Arabidopsis thaliana: one gene and its partner. The protein of the gene in region 2 interacts with the protein of the main gene of each other region in a biochemical or structural test. Each region holds a gene or a part of one and is shown on either strand. Other genes may lie near its edges. The genes, in order: DEG1 and CP29.

Region 1 (5,778 bases), 9.5 Mb from region 2:
ATGAAGTAGCTACTATCATTATTCTTTTTACTTATAAGTACTGTAGTTTTTTACTCAATGTTTTTGTTATTAGGTTTTTTAGTATTAAGTTGTTAATATTGGGGCTACATAAAGCCAAACAAACATATATGATTGGCATAGTCAAGTTCTCAACAAGCTATCCTCTAACGAAGCATTTGGGTAACGACATGTCGTCGTATATATATCTAGATACACGTACATATTAAATTAGAAATTTACTCCAAAAGCAGAGGATTCTCGTAATCATTACCAAGTCGGCTCGAAAGTAGTTTATATACATTACTATGAATACATTTCCAAATGAAGATGCCCGTGATTTATGACCCCACAAATTCAAAGACAAAGACAAAAAAAATATATACCCTATTAAACCGGTTTGGTTTAGATACAGTCCCAACCATAGAAGATACAATCTTACTACATATACTTTACGTTGCAAATTTATAAATACCAACCCATGTCAGTGTCTTGTTGGTGTTGCTTAAAAAGAATGACACAAATATTAAATTCCACGTAGGGACCTTCGCTGATCATTACATATTCGGTTCGTTTTCACTTATCACGTGGGTAATATTTGATGTTATGAAAGTGTTCAAAAACTACGTAAATTATAGTTTTTGCACCCAAAAAATAAAATACAAATGGTTGAGTTTGTATACAGGGAAACATGCAGACATAACCTCAAACTTTTTTTTTTTTTGCAAAGCTACCTTTCACCTGCAACACAACCATCCAAGTCATAACTTAGCTCGAGTAAATGATCTCTCAACGAGAGCATGCGTTCACAACTTAATAAAAAAACTCAATAATTTATCAAAACTACAGTACGTTGTTTTAAATATTTTAAAAAACTAACATAATGTGAAATAGGGACCGTAAAATGACTTAACAATTGAACAAATAACCTAAACCGTGTAAGACTATATTATAAAGATTCGAACACATGACATGAACTCAAGACATAACCATATAATACACGTACATCTTTTGATAAATCATGAAGAATAATATCAAAAAGAAATTCTTGGTAATGAGTCGAAAATCAAACCATTAAATTTTCAAACTCGAATGTTTGTAGATGTAAAATTTTAGGAAGTTTCATGTATAAAAAGTAACCATGTTCGGAACTGAATAAAAGCTATAAAAGGACTTTGTTAACTTCGGAATCCGTAAGTTCAGAATTGTCTCGACTAAAATAAAGGTCCAAAATCAGTACTAATGTACTATGTAATATGTATCATTGCTAAGCCGCACAATCATGAAATTTTATTTTGGTACTACAAAGCCGCAAAATCAGTACTATGCATCATTGCAAAATCAGTACTATGCATCCGAGAGAGTGTTGAAAAAAAAATTTGGTACTACAAAGCCGCAAAATCAGTACTATGCATCATTGCTAAGATGAGGTAACTGTCCATTAAGCCGACGAAATTCGGTTTTCATTTTTCTCATTTTGATTTTTTCTAGGTGTCAGACTCGTCACTCCCAATGTCTGAACCGAAATTAAAAACCAATCCAAACCATAAGACCGTTTGAAGACATTGCAATTTTGGTTATTTCCGGTTACCTTTCGCATGTATGCAAATATAAACAGATTTTATGTACACAATTGGACGATCTATTTTCCGAACAATTGATATACAAAAATATAACCCACCGGACTTTTTTTCTACACGTTATGTATATTTACTTCTTTCAACGACGTTTCTAAGACTCGTCCGGCTTTGGTTCGAGAGTTACAGAGATTTTCTCCTTGTGATCGCCTCTTAGAACCTCTACGGTCACCTAATCAACATCATCAGTGTCAAAACTATCTCGGATGCAGAAACTAATTGACAAAAACTGCGGAGTTTACCTCATCGCCGACTTTGCATTGATCGAGAATCCGGTACAGATCACTCCCGTTAGAGACTTTTGTACCGTTCACCGACGTGATTATGTCTCCTAGTACTAGTCTCCCGTAACCATCACGTTTTGTTGACTGAAGTCCCTGTGGAACAAAACCAATTTTACACATTTCAATATTAAAACCGCGGAGTGAAACATAGAGAAAATATCTGTTATATGGAAACTTGGAAACAGGAAGAGCTTACGGCTTTGCCGGCTGGACCACTTGGAGGAGCATCCAAGACGAGCACACCGCTCACTCCCAATTGCTCAACAGATTGGTCCGGTGCGAATTTGATACCTAAGATTGGTCTGGTGACTTTACCAAATCTCACCAGCTGATCAACGATACCACCAACCTGAACATGAGAGAAACAGAGCTCGAAACAACTTTAGTCTCCCGTTAGTGGATTCAATGATAGAGAAAGACTCTATCTGATCAGATTTGCAATGGGTAAAAAAGAAGAGAGAACTCACTGTATCAACTGGGATCGAAAAGCCCACTCCAGAAGATGCACCAGAAGGAGAATAAATGGCTGTGTTTATACCAATTAACGTTCCTGAGCTATCTAGAAGAGGTCCTCCGCTGTTACCAGGGTTAATGGCTGCATCTGTCTGTATCACATCTTGAATTGGACGACCAGTTGCAGCAGAACTAATTTCTCTTCGCAAACCACTGTACAAATCATAATGCACAAACATGCTACAGTTTTAATAAGAGAAAAGGAATAGTATAGCCATTTGGCATGAAGAGGGGCAAGAGAAAATATATGTATCCAGTATCCTCAAGTACCAATCATCTTTTTTGACACTTTCATTTGTGAGTTCGTTATGAGAAGAACACATCTGATTAGAGTAGAATGCAACTTAAAAAAAAGAGAAGACAAATATAATTTAACATACCTTATAACACCAGTTGTGAGAGTATGATCAAGTCCAAACTGCACAAAAAAGTTCTTGCTTTAGTGCGTATGAACAAGAAACATAAGTATTGACCTAGCTAGCAATAGAAAACACAAAGCAGAGCTTTAATCTATGATCACTTTAAGGATGTATACTCACTGGATTGCCAATGGCAAAGACTTTCTGGCCAACAAGCAGATCAGCAGAGACTCCAACAGGTATAGGTCTTAATTTGTTTTTCGGTGCATCAATACGTAATACTGCAACATCCTTATCTTGGTCAAATCCAACAACTTTTGCATCAAATGTTGTTTGATCAGCAAGAGTGACCCTGTTATATACATCATCCAACTTCCTTATCATACACAAACATCAAAAGAAACCATCCAAAGAAACAATGTACTCATTATAAAACTAAGAATACAACAATTACTAATTCCAATTTCTATCAAAAATCAATCAGATTCTCAAAGTTTCAACATAACTAACCTGAGATCAGAAGCACCACGAATAACATGGTAATTGGTAACAATATGACCTTGCTTATCCCACACAAATCCTGAACCAGAGCCTTGAGGTACCTCAAGAACGTCCAATGTAAACGCGTCCTGCCTAATTCAAACAACATTAGACCAATCCTCAAATCACGGAGAGAAGAAATTCAAAACGAAATTCACCAGAGAGAAATCAAATTCAGATACCTCACGGCGAGATTAGTGATGTAAACAACGGAAGGAGTGTTCTCTTGAAACAAACGAACCGTCGCGAGCTCATCAGTTTGAAGTTTCTTCGGAGTACTAACTACAAACGCCGAGGCAGATTCAACGGCGGGAGAAGCGGCGAAGAGTGAAAACGATAACGCGACGGAGGTACAGAGGAGGAAGAAAGGTTTAACGGCGGAGAACGGAGTAAAATGAAGAGTATCATCATCGTCGTCTCTGTTGTTGTCGTTTAGTGAAAGCTTCGAGAGGATTCGGAAATAGCGTTTGGATCGGATTGGGTAAAGAGAAATTGGAGAGGATCGTGAAGAAGAGAGATTGAAGAAGGAGAGGTGAGAAGAAGGAGGAGAGTGAAGGAAGAGAGTGGAAGAAAGGAGAAGCGAACAACTCGTCGTCGTCGCCATTTAGTTTCTTCTTCTTCTTCTGGTCATGGGACAATGGGATTGTGGTCTCTGTTTTATTTCATTTTTTTTTGTAATTAAAAATATTAATTTTTGAAAATAATGGTTTTTCTATGCGAAGCTATGGTTTTGTATACGTAACCGAATCGAACCGAAATTGAATTGAAATTTGTTTAGTAAACCACTATTTTATGATCTTATGAATCTGGAATAAACAAAACCGGGTCTTTTTTTTGTTACCGAATCAAATTGAATCGAAAACTTTTTGTACTTTGAAAATAAATTTAAACAGTAACCTTTATTATGGTAAATATTATAAAGAATGTTGTTACTTATATCCATAACCCGTAGTACACCAATAATCGATTTTTTAAAATTTTTAAATTTAAGTTGTATTTCTTTATATTATTTGTTTTGTTTTTGTTTGATATTTGTTCACCCGTAATATATCATCCCATATAAATATCGTTCCAAACCGAATGAAAAGTCCAAAAACAAATCAGGATTTCGCTTCATTTAAGAACTTCGAAAAATCAAAAGCCCAAAAAGACCAAACTTAAGAGTTTAAACCAGATAATCCACTCCTAATTTTGAACACTAAACACTTGTACTCCATAAGAGTAAAAATGGTTATTCCTAAGTAATTCTTCTTTCGTCGAACTTATTAAATACTTGACTTGGTTGATATCTAAATCTACTAGATAAAAGTGCAAAAAGATTAATGGTGTAGTTTAGAGAATCTTCTGGGACGGTCTAAGTTCTTTTGGCAGCTCACTAAAATTCTCTGCGTCCACATCGGCTTGATACATTGGTCTCTTCCCCATTTTCCACACAATCCCTTCAGCTAAATGTTCTTTGTTCGGTGTCAGCATTACAAAGTTTGGATCAGCTCTTTGGTAACTGCAATTTCACAAAATAAAACAATGTGAAGAAGATCATGAAGCTAAAGAGGGTTGATTTAATTTTAAACTTGTCACAAATGGACTGACCTGGCTTCTCTTAAGTTATCAACACGTAGACCGAACCCACATTGGACATTTCCAGTCCTATGATTAGTTGTTGCTGCATAAAAAATGAGTCCAAACATGTTCAAATACCAAGAACCTATGTTCATCTTGATTTCGCTGCATTCAGGTTATTTATCAACGCATACCTGAAATATTGAATGCGAAAGACGGTTTCCACCACGACTTGAATGCTAATGACAATGTTGAGCTATGAGCTCCGACTTTACCCTGCAAAAGTTGAAAATGTTACATACTGAGCAAAATTTGAGATAAATGGTTTCTTTTTGAGTAACTCGATAAGGTAAATATTTTTTTATACCTTCAGCAAAAAGTTCTTGTTGGCCTGCCAAGACGCAGCCACCTGCAATAAAGAATCTGGGGCATTGGGTGGCGTCTTGGAATCATCAACCCTTCAATATTAAGACGAAATATAAAGTTCTGTTTCTGTATAGACAAACAGTAGCTACAATGTTTTTTTTTTTTTTACTTAGAGATGTTCACTACCTCGATTGTAGCTCAAAACCAAAATCAATGTAGTTTGTGATTCCAACTACTTGGTTTTCTTCGAAAGGATTTTGCACCTGTTCCAAGTCCATTAAATCGATTTCATATTGAGCCAAAGATGTGCTAAACTTTATATATGGAAGACTAGTATAAGATGCAGCACAGAAAAAGGACTTGTTTGAAAGAGTTGTACCCGTCTTTGGACCACTACGTGTTGGTAGAACGAAGCAATAAACTGCATTTACAAGAAAGATAACATAATCAGCAAGACTAAAAATGCTACAAAATGGATGATATGCCATTAGATAAATAATGTGGTCGTTTGTCAAGTTCCAT
Region 2 (4,995 bases):
TTTTAGATTAAACCATTTTCAGAATCTATCTTAAAATCTATAAAGATAGTGTGTGACTTTGTTTAATACTCGTAACATTACTCACCTCTATAACATTACTCAACCTTAATAATATACGTCATATCTATAACATACGTGTATAGGGTCATGGTGGTTGATTGATATACGAAGACAAAACGAAAAAAGAGTTAGTAAAAGGCCTAACTTGTAGGCAGGAAGAGTGGTGGAAGTATGATGGTGAAAGAGCAAAGTGACATTTATGTTCTTGTGTTCTTTATTTTTGAGACATAATCTTCCATTTCTTCACTTCAATGTTTCTCTTCTCTGCTTTCGGTCATTGCTATGCCCCATTTGTTCTTACCTTTTCGTTCTACCAATAATATAAATATTCTCTTTTTTCACCTAATGACGTCGAAGATACCATCGTCACGTGACATCCGCACACCATATGTATTGACATTGGTATTAGTGTTGAAAATTAGAAGGGGTGTCAATGGGCCGTGCTTGAAGAATATAGTCCGAATCAATCTCAGAGTTTAGGCCCATTTCAATCTCTTAGCGGTATAATCCATCATTGTACTAGCGTTTAGGCCCATTTAATAAAATTGGGATATATAATACGGATTACACCAAACTATAAAGTTTTGAATCCCAGAGCATATGCACTGGGTTCATATGAGAACTGACAATACAACCTCACACAATCAAACCCTTCCAGAAAATTTCTTGTTCCATATCGAAATTTGTTAAGTTTTAGGAAAACTGGTTTTCAGAACATAAGAAGATCACGAACATCAAATAAAACAGACTGCTACAGTCACTCTCATATGCCAAAAAGCCAAATTGTGTCAAAATACCAACAAAAAAGACAAGAAGAAAATGCAACTTCAACTACAACCAATCTCGCAGGATTCGAACAGACAAGAAACATGGGTTCTCTGCTTTAATCTAATTGTTATCTTTCTCAAAAAAAGACCATTCCTTAACGACCTTCATGCATCAAAGGCGGATAAAGCCTAGCGTGCACCAGCAGTGAGTTTTAGTTACTGTCTGAAACCGCCATTTTCCACTAACCCTATATGCTTCAAAGAACCTGTTACATTCGAGATTCAACTGTCTTAAGCAAGGCAATATATGATTCAGAATGGAAATAGCAGAACATGGCTGAGAATTGCGATTCTTACCCTCCAGAATTTGCATTTTTTGAGAATATGAAAGAGGTGTGACCGCTCAAAATTGGCCTCTTGGTGGCCTAGCCTCAGCCTCTGAGACTCTTATTTGTCTTCCATCCAAATCCTTTAGGAAAGTAACACATGAGTTAGATATTTGATATTTACAGTAAGAAGTACCAATCGAATAAATTATTATGCAAAGAAGAGAAGTGATGATACTTACTGCTCCATTCAAGGAATTGATCGCCTTCTGAACCTCTTGGGAAGAGCTAAGTGTCACAAATCCAAAACCCTTGGATCTACCGCTGTCCCTGTCGTAGATAACCCTAGCTTCAACTACCTTTCCTTGCTCGTTAAACAAGTTCTCAAGTGCCATGTCATCAACACCCCAAGAAAGGTTGCCCACGTAGAGACGGTTTCCTGAACCTGAGCCCGAACCGGACCCTGACCCCGAACCATAACTGGAACGTTGAGACCCTCCGTAACCACCACCACTACGTTGAGAACCGTATCCACCACCACGCTCGGAACCATAACCACCACCACGCTCGGAACCATAACCACCACCACGCTCGGAACCGTAACCTCCACCACGCTCAGAACCGTAACCTCCACTTCTTGGTCCTCTGGAGAAGGATTCCTCTCTTTTAGGTGGAGGAGGGCCAGCATTGACTCTCAAAGGTCTGCCTTCAAATTCCTGAAATGTTAAAAATCAACAGGATTAATGAAAACAGCCAGTGTAGTAATGTAAGAAATCCAAAAGACAAGCTTGAAGGTATGAACAACAAGACAATGTGACAAAAACAAATGTACAAATCTAAATCGGCTACTTATATCCCAAATGAGAAACACGAACAACCTAGAAGAAGATGCATCTTATCAGCAGAATATAAAACAACATCAACCACGAAGTCTCCACAAACCAAACAGAAGATAAACAACACTATTTCTCTATCTCAAACGTTCATACAATCCAATTCATGGAATTCCACATTACACACAAGCCAAGAACAAGAAACAATACAAGCAACTCAATAAACAAACAAGTCCACACAAAACTCTTATCAACAAGTAAAGACACAGTAGCGAACACAAGTATCTGCTTACATAGCCATTGAACTGTTGAGCTGCTGCTTCAACTTCCGCTGCGGTTGACATTGTCACAAATCCGAAACCCCTGCTCCGGCCAGTCACTTTGTCATAGATAACCTACAATATCAAACTCATTTCATCACAAATGAAAACAATCTCAAACCTTTAGCTATGTTCTCACTTTAACTCTACTCAAAACGATTCAAACCCAATTAAGAAAGATAATTAATCCAAATCTGAAAACAGAAACCTAAATTTATCTTACCTCAACCATCTCAACATTTCCAGCGCTCTCAAAGAGCTGAGCAAGCTGAGCGCTATCAACGTTAAAAGAAAGGTTACCAACAAAGAGCTTAAGGTCAGGAGAGAAGGAGTTACGCTCCACAGGCGCTGAATCGTCACCGTCAGCGAACATATCATCTTCCTCCACCTCAAAATCCGAAGATACAGCAACGTTTCTAACGAAACGCGACGGGTACTCGGCGGGGGATGAGCATTTGAGGGCGGAGGAAGCGAAGATAGAGACGAGGTGGTCGGAGTGAAGTTTGAAGGAGAGGGAAGGAGGTAAGACGGAGACGGAAGCGGGTCTGGAGACGCAGAGAGGAAGGGATTTAGGATTGAAAGCAGAGAGGGAAGAAGCAGAGGCAGACATGGCTAAAGCTTGAGAGAATTTTGCTCTCGAGGCTAAAGCTTTGAGAAGCTGGTGGTGAAGAGATAAGGTTTAAGGGTTCTGCGAGATAACAAGTCCAGTTTTTGATATTTATTGGCAAAAAAAATGGAACTTTTCGTTTTTTCTTTGCAAAAAATAAAAATCTTTATCCACTTGAAATATCTCCCACTTGGATTTTTTTTTTACCTACTAAAATCTGTGTCAGTCAAAAGAGTTGGTAAAAATAAAAGTTACTTTGTTACATAAAATATAAAAATAGCATTGATCTTATTGTTTGATTCATTAAGTACGAAAATATGACAACACAAATATAAATGTTGTGTTTACTGTTTACTAATGAAATGAAAACAGATTAATAAATAATTATATTGAAAATTTAGAAATTTCAAATATACTTTTTTTTTTACAGTAAGCTTGAGGAGCTTAAAAGAAGAGTTACTCAAACCAATTGAGTTTTTTTTTTCTGTTATATAGTAATTTTTCAATGAAGTGAATGGTATGTGTGATAAGATCTGGTGCGTCCAAATTGGATGGACGGTGTAGATTAAAGAGAAGGAATAAGAGAGTGGGTCTAGTGAGAAGATAAGGCCATTACTAAAAGCCAAAGGAAAAAATGCAACTAGAGAGACTGTACACTGAGGCTCCAGTATGGATCTTCAACTCGTTCTTAACTATTAAGTAACCACTGATACCATAATTTTGAGGTTTATGTAATATTGATACAGTTTCACTTGTTTTCCAGATTTTTTTTGTTTGTTTGTTTTTTTCCTTTTTGTTGGAAATGAAAATCAAAGGTAAAAATAATAGGCAACAAAAATGAATTTATAGTCATGAGTAAGCCTTGCACAAATTTTCAATTAAGATTCCAAATATAGTGTGTTCCGGCTTAAGTTAAGGAAGAGTATGTAACTGACTAACTGTTGTAGCATTAGGCTCAATAGTCAATACTACCAGAAGATGCCATCTTCTCGAACCAAATCATCAATTCTGTCCCAAAGCCTCCTCTCCGGTTCACGTCTGTATTCAGGAGACAATGGATCCGAGAGATAAACCCTAGCTCTCCATTGCTGAGGTTTAGGTTTGGATAATGAATAAAATTAGCAAAGAGTTACTTATTAGAGCCGGTTAAGCTGGAGATGTCTAGTCTGGGATCGGGTATTTCCCAAACCCGAATTTAACCGTTTAATAACCATCCCGGTTCAGATTCATAATAAGAATGGGTCCCATTGATAGCCACGTGTCGCTAGCGAAGACGTAAGAAGAGATTGAAAATGGCTAAGGAACATTGTCCGGCGGAGAATCGAAGAAGAGAAGAAGAACACAACAGTCAGATACTTTTTCTTCTTATTTTGTCCGTACCGAAATCGGAAAATGGACATTACTGTTCGAATCTCCGGCTTAAAATCCTCCAATCTAATCCGGATAACCCCTAGATTCTCATCTTCCTCTAGATTCCGTTGCTCCAACAACGAACCTCCTCGAAAGGGAAACGAGTCCAACGGTGAGAGTCTGATCTCGAAGCTTATGTTCGTTGGTAGATTATAATCGGTTAAATTCGGTTTTATTTGGTTTATAGCAGGTGGTGGTGGTGATAAAGCGTCGACGGACTGGGACAAGGCGTGGAAGAATTTCAAGAAGCAGAGCAAGAAGTCATTGTTCTCGCAATTCAACGTGGACAAGTACGTGACTTGGAATCCTCCCAGATCGGAGTTTGATTTGTCGGAAGAAGTCGATCCTATAAAAAGAACAGAGAGATCCAATCTCATGCTCTGGACAAGTCCAAGGTTCACACTTGTTGGAGCCATCGTCATTGTCTCATTCCTCCTTCTCTACACCATTCTTGCTCCTGTCAAGTGATAATAATCTCATTCATCTTTCATTTAGATCAGATTCTGAATCTGTTGTTTCTACTGTTTATATGCATTACTACTTTTGCCAAATAATAAGATCGCAGTTTCTACAGTCAAGCAAATAAAAACGCAGTATAATAGAGCCCTTTTTGTTTTTGTAATAACCGAGATAGATCATGAGCCGAAATCAAGATTAATCCCCTGAAGTTTA

What was found.
Region 1: the proteins of CP29 (region 2) and DEG1 form a complex in vitro, tested with the Arabidopsis thaliana proteins (one study listed by BioGRID).

Annotation. Positions count from the first base shown.
Region 1 is NC_003074.8:10,364,931-10,370,708, forward strand, and holds DEG1 (DegP protease 1), read right to left. Parts: upstream 4,015-5,778; 5' UTR 3,935-4,014; coding exon 3,513-3,934; intron 3,424-3,512; coding exon 3,301-3,423; intron 3,143-3,300; coding exon 2,971-3,142; intron 2,850-2,970; coding exon 2,812-2,849; intron 2,585-2,811; coding exon 2,386-2,584; intron 2,268-2,385; coding exon 2,115-2,267; intron 2,012-2,114; coding exon 1,877-2,011; intron 1,807-1,876; coding exon 1,729-1,806; 3' UTR 1,679-1,728; exon of another isoform or gene 1,419-1,678; intron 739-1,418; 3' UTR 722-738; downstream 1-721. Other genes in the region: AT3G27930 (beta-galactosidase), read right to left, coding at 4,663-4,831, 4,921-4,993, 5,085-5,166, 5,258-5,348, 5,443-5,519, 5,636-5,677. UniProt on the Arabidopsis thaliana protein: Serine protease that is required at high temperature. May be involved in the degradation of damaged proteins. In vivo, can degrade beta-casein.
Region 2 is NC_003074.8:19,818,508-19,823,502, forward strand, and holds CP29 (chloroplast RNA-binding protein 29), read right to left. Parts: upstream 3,013-4,995; 5' UTR 2,917-3,012; coding exon 2,530-2,916; intron 2,382-2,529; coding exon 2,217-2,381; intron 1,870-2,216; coding exon 1,396-1,869; intron 1,297-1,395; coding exon 1,231-1,296; 3' UTR 1,185-1,230; exon of another isoform or gene 1,161-1,184; intron 1,094-1,160; 3' UTR 729-1,093; downstream 1-728. Other genes in the region: AT3G53470 (2,3-bisphosphoglycerate-independent phosphoglycerate mutase), read left to right, coding at 4,306-4,435, 4,511-4,791. UniProt on the Arabidopsis thaliana protein: Stabilizes specific chloroplast mRNAs. Required for normal chloroplast development under cold stress conditions by stabilizing transcripts of numerous mRNAs under these conditions.